Linked DNA regions of Sus scrofa. The protein of the gene in region 1 interacts with the protein of each later gene in a pairwise test. Links are inferred from orthologs where the notes say so. Each region holds a gene or a part of one and is shown in the gene's direction. Other genes may lie near its edges.

Region 1 (3,746 bases):
ACTCTCTCAACCAGGACCTTTTCCCCATTCTGATTACCCCAACTCTTAAATTTTTTTAATAGTTTCCTAATAGTTTTCTCTTGGCCTCCAGCCTCCTTTGCTTCTCCAGCCCCTCCCCCAATCGCTATGGCATTAGCAGTCAGCCTACTTGGTTACTTCATCTGCGGAAAAGGAGTATATGGGAGCCATCCACCTTGGCAGGGAGGGGTATTTTATCACTGACACTGTTTAGAAGGGTGCGAATATAAAGCAGATTGACTTTGAGTTAGTTTTTGTTACTGTGTTTACATTCCCTACAGACAATGCACCCATTTTGCCTACACCTGGCCAGCTGTGCTGACCCCCATTCTGCTCAGCATGACACTGGAGACAGGATCTGCTTTGCAGAGCTGTTGTGAAGGTTAAATGAAGCAATACTCACTGGGAACTTAGCCCAGGCTCCTGCACATGGTGAGTGCTTGGTCCACGTTAACAGTTTTTAGTTATAACACTAGCATTGGCTCCTTATCCCCAGTAGGACTCCTGTTTTGGCAAAGCCTTGGCGCGTCTGGTCTCAGTCACTCCCTTCTACCCTCCTGAACCCCATTCTCTAGGTAGGGAACGGTTTACTCTGCCTTCACAGCACCAAGTCTTTCCATGTTCCCATGCCTTTGCGGGTGCCTTTTCATGGGCCTGGAATGTCCTCCTTCTTCGCTGCAGATTCATCATTTAAGGTCCAGCTCACAGTCATGCTTTTTGTGATGCCTTCCTCAAGTTAGCCAGACAAAAGGATGCCTCCTCCACTGTGCATCCATGGCCCTTAGCTCGCATCTCCTCTTTAAAGCCTGCCTTGGCTGGAGCCCCTGGAAAGGAGACACTGTCCGTGCTCATCTTTGTGATCTAGTCTGTAACCACAGTCACCAAAATTGCGTCTGTGCCATAATATAGGCTCAGTCCTTGTGGAGGTCTTGATTGGTTTGTTTGGTTTTATCGGAAGGAATGACCAAATGAATGAATGAAGGGGGATGGCTTTGAATTCACCCTAGATGGAGCAAAAAGTTCGGGCAGTGACAGAGTTGGTCATTGGAGGTAAGCTCACCTGGGACTCTTCTTTCCATGCCCCAAGAAAAATATTCTCAGGTAATAGAGTCCCTGTCATCCTCAAGAAGTGAACTCAGTAACTAAACGAAAGGCTGTATTTAAGAGCAGGGAGAGTGTGAAGCGGGTTAACTGTCTTCATAGCTGTCCCTGAGAGGGCGCTGTTCCCAAATCAAAGCTCCAGAGGCCGGGACTGAAATACCAGAGCGTTCCCACCGGACTCAGCATCCCTGCCTTCCCAGGCAGCTGGCGGTCGCGGGTCTCCAGGGCGGCGACTGCCCACAAACATGGCGGCGCCCTGCTCAGCTTCTCCCCGCCGGGGCCGCCAGGCCAGGCGAGTTTTGCCAGGACTCGGGGACTTCCTCCGCGAGCCGGCTTCCTGCACGACTGGCATTTAAACCGGCGCCTGGGGCTGCAGGTTGCGGCTGCGGATGCTGAGTTGTCTGCGGGCTGGGCAGCGCCGTCGCCTCCCCTGAGCCTCCGGCGCAGGCGGCAGCGGAGCCCAAGCATCCCTTAACTGCCCCCGAGCCAAAGCTGGAGAGAGCTGGGGGAGATCGGGGACCCTGGCATCTGGCATTTTAATTACAGGTTTGACTTTTTTCCCCCCAAGATCGCAGCCCTCCTGCTCAGCCCAGATATTTTTCCTCCCTCCGGCCTTGGTTGCTGGATGAAGCCGGGGCTGGGCTTGGTCCCGGGAGCAGGAGAAGAAAGCGTTCCCGGCCCCTCGCGGTCGCCCCAGGGACCCCCGAGCCCCGCGCCCCGGCCATGGTGCGCCTGAGCCCCGCGCTCCGGTGAGGCGGCGGCGCGGCTCGGATCCTGGCGGTCCCGCCCTGAGGGACACCTTCCGCAAGGAGCCGAGGGTGCGCGACGCGGGGCTCCGCGCCCTCCTGCTGGGACTGGGCACCGGGTGGTGAGCAGCGGCCGCGATGTTCAGCTGGCTGGGTTCCGACGACCGCCGGAAGAAGGAACCCGAGGTCTTCCAGACCGTGAGCGAGGGGCTCAAGAAACTCTACAGGACCAAGCTGCTGCCCCTGGAAGAGCACTACCGCTTCCATGAGTTTCACTCCCCTGCCCTGGAGGATGCCGACTTTGACAACAAGCCCATGGTCCTGCTGGTGGGCCAGTACTCCACCGGGAAGACCACCTTCATCAGGTGAGCCAGCCAGTGTCCCCGCAGCCCACCCCGCCGCCCAGCGTTTGGGCCCTCCATTCACTCCGGGTGTTCCCTCCTGCCTGGGGACAAACGCGCAGTCATCATTTGAAGGCTCTGGAGAAATCCTTGTGCAGGGCTGTCCAGAGCTTAGCCCCAAATTTCACTGTGGGTTTCCAACCCGGTCCAACCTACTGCCTCTCCCTTGCATCAGCCCTTGGCTTAAGTGGTCAGTTTGCAGTGCTAAACTTCATCCTTATTCTTCCCACTTTAGGGATGGTGAAACTGAGACCCAGGAGGCGCAGGTGACAAAGCCCTGGTCCAAGAGTACCTCTCGCTAGTGGAGGTGTCTCACACCTTCACGTTGTAGGGACATGCCCTGGCCAGTCACGGCCACTTCCCCTGCCCCATTCATATGGGGGCTTTACAGTTGCAGCTGAGAAGTTGGGCTGAGGAGCCTGTTGCCCTCTGCCTGGTTAGTGCCACTTGTCCTTCTTTTTCTCAATTTCCTTCTCTGAGCAGAGCTCAGAGTCTTGGAGACTGGAGAGAAGCAGTGTCCAGAAGCAGAATTCTTTTTTCTTTTCCCTTGTTTGAGCTTAATGGCTCAGTAATCATGAGTTTAGGGGTGGAAGGGATATTGGCTCTTGTCTCATCCAGCCCCTTGATGGGGCAGGAGAGGTAACCGAGGCATAGAGAGGTTACCTGAGCTGTGCAAAGCCCTACAACAGGGTAGGAGGCCGACCTGGGATGCAGGTCCTAGACGCATGGGAGGAGATGGTTGGCTGAATGCCTGTAACTTTGAGAGTGAGTCATCCATTCCCTTGAATTATAGAGTCCTTGGGCTCGAGGGATCCTCAGGAAGTCAGCGAGTCCATCTGTATTCAGGGAGGTGCCCAGATTGTCCACCAGAGCAATGAGGATTTTTCATATCTTTAGAGGACAGGCTTCTCTCCAGCCCTCAGTCCACACAAACCTCAAGGCCAAGCCATCCTCCTTGGCCTATTCATGGCCTCTGCAAGCTGCTGAGGGTGCTCGTGGCCCTCCACGTTAGAGTCAGGCTCATACAGAGTGGTGATGGGTTCGGTGCCTGCCCCCCCGCCCCACCCCCACCCCGAGTTAATGGTGCTCATCTCCTGCAAAGGTTTCAAAGCGGGGTGTTCTCATTTCCATTCATTGAGCACCTGCAACATGCAAAGCACTGTGCTTTATTTGGTGAGGAGAGCAGAAAAGTTCACAGTCTGGTTCCCAATTTTCTAGATTCAAATTTCCCCCAGCTCTAAGCTCTTAACAACAAGCCTTCTGGGAGCAGGGCATACACCAGGCTAATGTGGCATGTCTGAACAGAACACCACGGGAATCTTTCTTGTGGGGTGGACAGCCTTGAACTCAGCAGCTTTGAGAGGCAGAGTGATTTCTGAAGAAGTTGGGTACCCAGGGTGGATGTTGGCTTTTGGATATCTTAGACTGTTAGGGCTCCAAGGGCTTTTAGGGATGAATCTAATCCATGGCCTCTAAACTC
Region 2 (3,646 bases), on another chromosome or scaffold:
AGCCCCCAAGACCCCTTCACCCAGCTCAGCTCTCCAGCCCCTCAGAGTGTGGTCTGGGCCCCCAGCCCTTGGCCAGGAATTCTCCCCCCAGAGCACCACATTCCAACACAATGAGGCGCCCTCCCTAAATCCTTTTGATGAGGAAGACCTCCCCATCCCCTCAGCTGAGGGCACAGCCAGCCCTACTGCTGCAGAGCCTTCCCTCAGCCCTTCAGCCTGCATCCTCAAAGAGTACAATCCTTTTGAGGAGAAGGAGGAGGAGGCGGTGGCAGGAAATCCCTTCACTGATGCTGACAGCCCAGCCCCCAATCCCTTCGATGAAGAAGAAGAGCATCCCAGTCAGAGGCCCTCAGGCCCTCCTGTTCCTGGCAACCCCTTCGAGGAAGCCCCCTGCACCAACCCCTTCGAGGTGGACAGCGACAGTGGGCGGGAGGGCGAGGAGCCCATAGAGGAGGAGCTCCTTCTCCAGCAGATTGACAACATCAAGCGTACATCTTTGATGCCAAGCAGTGTGGCCGCCTGGATGAGGTGGAGGTGCTGACCGACAACCTGAGGGAGCTGAAGCGCACCCTGGCCAAACAGAAGGGCGCCGACTGACCTCGATGGGTGGGGTGCCTTTGTGGGGAGGGTTGCTGAGGTTCATGGAGAAGGAAGTGGGCAAGGTTTAAGATGCACACAGGTTAGTGGGGGAGGAATCTGCTGCTTCGTGCTGTGCACCTGGAGCTTTCTCCACCATAGTTGAATAAAAAAATGGGAAGTGGAACAGGAAGAATCAGCACACGTTTGCTGTTTTTCCTGTTTTTTTTTTTTTTTTTTTTTGCTTTTCATTGGGCTTTCCTTTAGCAGGGACTTTAAATCTTCACTGCCGAGATAGTATATGCAGTTCTGTAGGGCCCCGGGCAGAAGCGGCTGCCATGCACCTTGTGCTTCCATTTGTTCCTGCCTGCTGTTTGGTCCTTACGCAGTATTATAGGGCAGCCTATATTAAGACCCTTCCTTTAGCCAAGACAGACAAGCTAGAGTCCTTTAAATCTTCCTCTGCTCTGGCAGAAGTCTGTCCCCCTGAGGCTAAGTCCCTTTCAACTGGGGCTTCCTTTGCCCTTCTGGGGAGGGATTGCTGTGAAGGCAGCAGTTTAGACCCAGAAAAGCCCAGCACCTCTCAGAGGGGTGAGGTTTCACCAGGGCCTGTTACCCTCTTACTCTGAGTTCTCTTTCAGGAAGTTAAGCTAGGGCAGAAGTATCACTGTGAGTCTGATGATGAACTTTTTATAGAAAATAAGAGTGGTTATGGGTTCCCAGTGGGTTAAACATCCAGGGTTGTCACTGTTATGGTGAGGGTTTCATCCTTGGCTGGGGAACTTCCAAATGCAGTGGGCCAAAAGACAAAAAAGAAAAAGAAAGAAAATAGGAGTGGTTAGCCTTTGAGTTGATAGAGATAGTATACTTTGGGAGAATAGGCTTTACCCAAGTGTCCCTCTGTAGAATTGAATGACTGCTGGGACAATTGTCTGTCCCTGGAGAAAGCTCCTTCTAGAGCTTTGGCAAAATTACTCTGGGGCATTTTCAGTGGGCCCAGTCTATGGTTCAGGAATTGATGATCAGGAAGTTTTTGAGGAATATTGTTAGAGAAGTTGATGCTTTCCTGAGTCAGAAGGTCAATTAAAATATCTTCCAAGGCTAATTGATGGGCCTTCTTGTCTTCTGGTTCATCTTGTCCTAACGTGGGCACTGGTGAGTTCCTTACCAGTGTTTAGTAATAAGAACTGAAATGTTTGAAAGAGGCACAACCCAGGATCATTCTAGTAGAACCATAGTACTTGAACTCTTCACCAGTTGAGGGCAAAAAGGGAAATTGTTGATTTAGTTCTGGTGCTTAGGTTTACAGGAACATAACCCTTAACTGACATCTGACATCATGAAACCCAAGTGTACTCAGCTTTGGGTAGAGTTCCTGCAATTATGCTTGTTAACTAATGACCACTAGTCACTTTATACCCCTTAACTAACTCTGGGTGATACTCTCATTGGTTAGTAGAGTGAGAGCTGAAATTCATTTTGTTACATTCTGTGAAGAACCCTGTTGATCTTGAGAATGTCTGAAAAACATTGTGGTATAAAAATAATCTATATTTGTATTGACACTATTCACATGTCTTTAGTACCTGCTGGATCTTTGGCTGGATAGAAAGGTCCTGTGCAGGGGTGTGGGGATGGGTAGTGGGTGGGTGGAGAGTCTGTGGACGACACTTGCCATTTGGGTTCTGTTCACAAAGGAATGTAAAGTGGGGTCCTAAGGTCCACCACTTACCAACCTTGCTGCTTGTCATGGTTTTTGGAGGTTGGCATTTAGGCATCTAAAATGTTGTCTGGTACATGTGTCTTTTCTTACTCAAGGTCATTGCCCTTCATGCTGTTACTCTAGAGGGGTTTACTGATGGGCTGCATGCTCCTACCTGCTCATCTGTCTTTTCTCTCTGACTGAAGAGAAGGAAGCTCTCTGCACCAAAAGCAGGTCGTTCCAGAAGCTAAATGCTGCTCTCCCTCATAATTTCCTTTCTAATGAGAATACATCTTTTAGTTAGCTAGTGGTTTCAATTAAGACCAATTTACCAAACATAGCCTTTCCCTGAAATCAACTGCTAGTGGCAGTTAGTAATTAACTAAGAGAATCGAGAACCACGCACATAAGCAACGTGTTTTTAAACTTAAAAAAAAAAAATCACTGAATATACTAAAACAAACTAAAACCCTTCTGGACTCAAACCTTCTGATGTGATTGAATTCTTCCATGGCTGTATTTTTCCATGAATTCTTCCATTTAATTCTCCCATGGTTATATTCTCATATAGTCACAGGCATGACAAGAGGTAGAATTCTCTACCCCTGATTTGTACCATTTCCTGGAATTCGCATGGGCACAAAGTTGTATTTACAGGGGTTGGTTAACATCAAGGAAAAGATGACCTGTGATTGCCACCATAACTTCAAGATCTTGCCTCATGTGAATATTTCACTCATCCTGCATTCCTTCAATGCAAACAGCTCCATGTTATCAGAAAATGAGCAAGTCCTTGATACAGCATTGGCATATGTCCCTAGACCCAGAGCATGTATGGAAGAGACTTTGGGGATTCAGGCATCAAATGAAGCTGGCTTTTCACTTTTATGCTGTGTTTGTATTTTCCCTGTCTAATACACTAAGGACACTTACTCATTATACTTGCTGCTCACTGTGTCTTTTCTATTCAGATACTAAAATGTACCTGAGTCATCAACAGCCATGTTGTAGGTCGGATGTTGGCATAAGTTATGTGATGGGACTTGGGTGAGAAGCTTGTCTTTTTGCCAGGTCACAGACTGTGGTAGCAGATTGTGGTGGTCATCTGACAGTGACAGAGAGTTTGAGGGTCATTGATTTGCATGCACTACTCTGAGGCCTTGTATTGAAAACTTTAAAAAAATAAAAGAACAGATGTTAGTGGTTGGGAGTGTGTGTGTGAGTATGTGTTGTAGGTGAGAATTACCAGATAACACCCCTCCCCTCCTTTCTAAAAGACCATCTGAGTATCAGAAGACAGTCCCAGCTCATGTGTCAACCTGTGTGGTTAAGTCCTCTGGACAAAATCAAGGTCCCTGGGCTTTTGAC
Region 3 (3,646 bases), on another chromosome or scaffold:
TACATCACAGCTCACGGCAACGCCCAATCCTTAAGCCACTGAGCAAGGCCAGGGATGGAACCCTCAACCTCATGGTTCCTAGTCGGATTCGTTTCTGCTGCGCCATGATGGGAACTCCAATTCAGGCGTCTTTAAGTTCCCTGGAGGGCAGGGACCCTAAGGCCTTCTTTTCTGTGCTCCTCGTCTCCCCCAGAGCCAGCTAGAACTTCCCAGGCCTTTGCGAACTCTCCGAAAATGATGTTTCCCAAGTCCAGATGTTGATTAGGGACAAAGGTAGGGGAGGGGAAGAAGCAAAGGAAACATCGTAGTGTCTTGGGGACCTTGGCAGTTTTCAGCTGTTTCCAGCACTCATTCATTCAGCAGACACTCGCGGAGTGCCTGCTGAGTACCCGGGACCAGGGCGGGTGTTGGGTACAGGACGTGAACAAAATGTGACCCCGGCCTTCTAGGAACGCTGCTGGGGAGACTGAGATAAACGGCTCAGACCAGTGGCTTTCCTCTCATTTGGTCTCAGGACAAGCTTTTGTTGGGGGCTGGGCTGGTGTCAATGTCACACTCTTCAGGAGTGGCAAACTGAGGGGAGGAGGCAGGGACCCAGCAGAGGGGAGAAGGAAGCCACCTGGCATGAGGTGGCAAAAGGGGCTGAAGCTCATATGCCATTTCCCTCCCCCTCCCCGGTCCACCTGGCCTTGGGTTTGCAAACGGCCCTCTCCTGCCTTGGCCCACTGTTCGCCCGCTATATCTTGGACTCTGCCTGGAGAAGCTGGGGTCGGGGCGGGGAGGGCAGGAGGAGACGGGCTCTCCCAGGCCCAGACGCTACCCATCCTCCCCACCAGCCTGAGAGGTGGGAGCTGAGCTTTCCCCACTTCGCAGATGGGTAAATCAAGGCGGCAAGGACTGCTGCCCAGGGTCACTTAGCCTCGCCTGGGAGAGCAGGACCCAGGACCCAGATGTTGGAGGCTGTGCTGCCCGCCCCGGCCTCTGGGCCCACGTCCCAGGCAGTCAGACTGCAGTTTTCAGCCGTAGAAGGATAAAGCTTCGGGCGGGTGCACCCTGGAGGCTGCTGAGCATGAAGGCTGGGCCTCCTCTGCTGGTTTTAGCGACTCCGACAGCCAGAGCTGGGCAGTGGGGTGGGGGTTAAAGCTGGGAGTCCCCCCAGGACAGGGCCTGCCCCTTCTTCCCACCTGTCCCAGCTCAGAAACTGGGACACCCTTTAGGGCTCCCCCAAGGCTGGTGCCCCCAGGAGTGGTCCAGTGGGGTCAGGCCAGCCGTTCAGCGCCAGCAGCTCTGGAGAATGTAATATTGCCAGGCTGGTTCAGACTTGTTCTATTCCTGGCCCCACTGAAACAACATTCCTTCTTGGGCTGGGCTGGGGATTCAGGAAGCTGGCGTGGCTTCTCCAGGTTTGTGACATGCAGTGGAAGGACCAGAAAGATGGATTCCCAGGGCTGGGTGGCTTCCCTGCTCTGAGCCTCAGTGTCCCTATCTGTAAAGTGGGGTCACTACCTGTTAAGTAGAGTTAAAAATAAGTAAATTTAAAGCAGGAGCTCAGCCCGGTATCCATTGTGAGGTCAGCACTCTGCGGATGTCCCCACTGCTACCAGCATCAGTCCTGGTCTTTTTTTTTTTTTTTTTTTTGGCTTTTGAGGGCTGCACTCACGGCATATGGAGGTTCCCAGGCTAGGGGTCCAATCGGAGCTACAGCTGCCGGCCTACACCACAGCCACAGCAACGTGGGATCCGAGCTGCATCTTCGACCTACACCACAGTTTACAGCAACACTGGATCCTTGACTGATTGAGGGAGGCCAGGGATGGAACCCGCATCCTCATGGATACTAGTTGGGTTCGTTAACGGCTGAGCCACAACGGGAACTCCTGATCTTAGTTTTGTCTTTGCCACTGAGTCAGGACGTGGCTTCCTGGGGGATAAACTTGAACCTGGGACTTTTCAGCCCCGCCCTTTCTCAGTGATTTCCAGCCTCTACTCAGAGGCCTTCGGGGCCTTGAGCTCATCCTCTGCCCAGGTGCTTTTTGCCCCCATTTCCTCCTCGACACCCCACCACCCGTCCCCAACCCTGCTGAGGCCCAGGCTCAGGCTGAGTCACCTCCCCTGGTCACACCCCGGCCCCAGCCCCCTCCTCAAGGTTCCTCCTCCCCTTTGCCTCCTACAGAGATTTTGATTCACTTTCCAAGGACAATGTCTTCGAGAATAACCGTTTGGTGAGTCCCCTGGAGAGATGGAAGTGCGAGAGACTGTGTACGTTGTAACTGGGCCACCGGGCCTGCCCCTTCTCCCGGTCACTGGTCACCATGTGGGGCCAGAGCTGGGCGGAGCCCACAGCCACCCCCGCCCTGGTCCCCCTCATCCCACCGAGAGCGAAGCTGGGCTGGTGATGAGTGGTACCTGCTGACCCTACCTCCTCTTCCTCTTCCTGCTGTGGCTTCCTCCGCAGGGCACCCCAGCCTCCCCCCCCACCCCCACCCCGCTTGCACCTGCACCGACCCCCACACTTCTCCCCGCTCTGCCCCCATCTCCCACCCTCACGTCTGCCCCCACCCCAGGCCTTCGAGGTGGCTGAGAAGGAGCTGGGGATCCCTGCTCTCCTGGACCCCAGTGACATGGTCTCCATGCGTGTCCCCGACTGCCTCAGCATCATGACCTACGTGTCCCAGTATTACAACCACTTCGCCAGCCCCGGCCAAGGTGAGAGGGGTGCCCCCGCTGTGCAGGGCAGCTGGCCCTGGGGGCGGGGCTGGGGCCGCACCCTGCTGTTTGCTGAGCTGCAAACAGGCCTGGGGAGGCAGCACCTCCTTCATTTACTGCCTGGCTCATTCACTCCTTCATTCACTCGTTGCAATACTTACCGAGTGAAATAACCCTGGGGGCCCACGTGGAGCCCACAGTCTTGTGGAGACAGACCACAAACACTGGAGCCAGCAACTGAGCAAAATAACATCAGAGGAGACAAAGCGAGTTCACCCGCCCTCTGGGAGTTCACCTTTGTCACCCACCCTTGCTTCCTGTTTGCAGACACTTCCCTGGGGTTTTTCCTCCAGCTGGCAAGGGGTCCTGCAGGGCGGCTGTGCACACCGTCTTCCTTAGCCGTGACCTTCAAGGCCTGAGAACCACGAGGCAGGGGAACTGTGGGGGGTAGGGGCTGCCAGGGTATTTCTCTGCTCTGGGTCAGGTCTCTGGGTGGCTATTGAGTCTCCAGCTTGGAGAGTCCCCGTGAGAGTCCCCACGCGGGAATCTCTCCTGGGGCTGCCTTGCCTTCCGCAGAGAGGAAACGGGCCCAGGGAGGGGAGGGAAGCGAGGATCCCAAGGTCACACAAGCAGGAAGACCAAATCCGGGCGTCCCGACTCCTGCGCCGTGTCACTGCTGCCACGGTTCCCCGGCCTCCATCACGGTCCTTCCTGCTGCTGTCTGTGGGGACAGTCTCAGCCTGTCTCTTAGAGTGGTATCCTATCAAGTCAGGGAATTTTTTTCTTCCTGAGAGTAAAACATGCTTACTGTAGGCAATTTAGGACAATAGGAAAGAGCATAAACATTTTAAAATTTAAATAATCTGTTACTCCCCCTCCCCCACCCCCAGCTATTTCTCCCCAGGGATCGATATTATAACTGAACCAATCACATGTGTAT

Evidence for each region.
Region 2: the proteins of EHD3 (region 1) and RBSN interact in binary tests that used the Homo sapiens proteins (3 or more experiments, as listed by UniProt). The link is inferred for Sus scrofa from reciprocal best matches to the Homo sapiens genes EHD3 and RBSN.
Region 3: the proteins of EHD3 (region 1) and MICALL1 interact in binary tests that used the Homo sapiens proteins (3 or more experiments, as listed by UniProt). The link is inferred for Sus scrofa from reciprocal best matches to the Homo sapiens genes EHD3 and MICALL1.

The regions. Positions count from the first base shown.
Region 1 is NC_010445.4:108,132,658-108,136,403, reverse strand, and holds the start of EHD3 (EH domain-containing protein 3), read left to right. Parts: upstream 1-1,242; 5' UTR 1,243-2,003; coding exon 2,004-2,230; intron 2,231-3,746. UniProt on the Homo sapiens protein: ATP- and membrane-binding protein that controls membrane reorganization/tubulation upon ATP hydrolysis. In vitro causes tubulation of endocytic membranes. Binding to phosphatidic acid induces its membrane tubulation activity.
Region 2 is NC_010455.5:69,431,349-69,434,994, forward strand, and holds the end of RBSN (rabenosyn-5), read left to right. Parts: coding exon 1-541; 3' UTR 542-3,481; downstream 3,482-3,646. UniProt on the Homo sapiens protein: Rab4/Rab5 effector protein acting in early endocytic membrane fusion and membrane trafficking of recycling endosomes. Required for endosome fusion either homotypically or with clathrin coated vesicles.
Region 3 is NC_010447.5:9,950,499-9,954,144, reverse strand, and holds part of MICALL1 (MICAL-like protein 1), read left to right. Parts: intron 1-2,173; coding exon 2,174-2,222; intron 2,223-2,564; coding exon 2,565-2,706; intron 2,707-3,646. UniProt on the Homo sapiens protein: Lipid-binding protein with higher affinity for phosphatidic acid, a lipid enriched in recycling endosome membranes. On endosome membranes, acts as a downstream effector of Rab proteins recruiting cytosolic proteins to regulate membrane tubulation.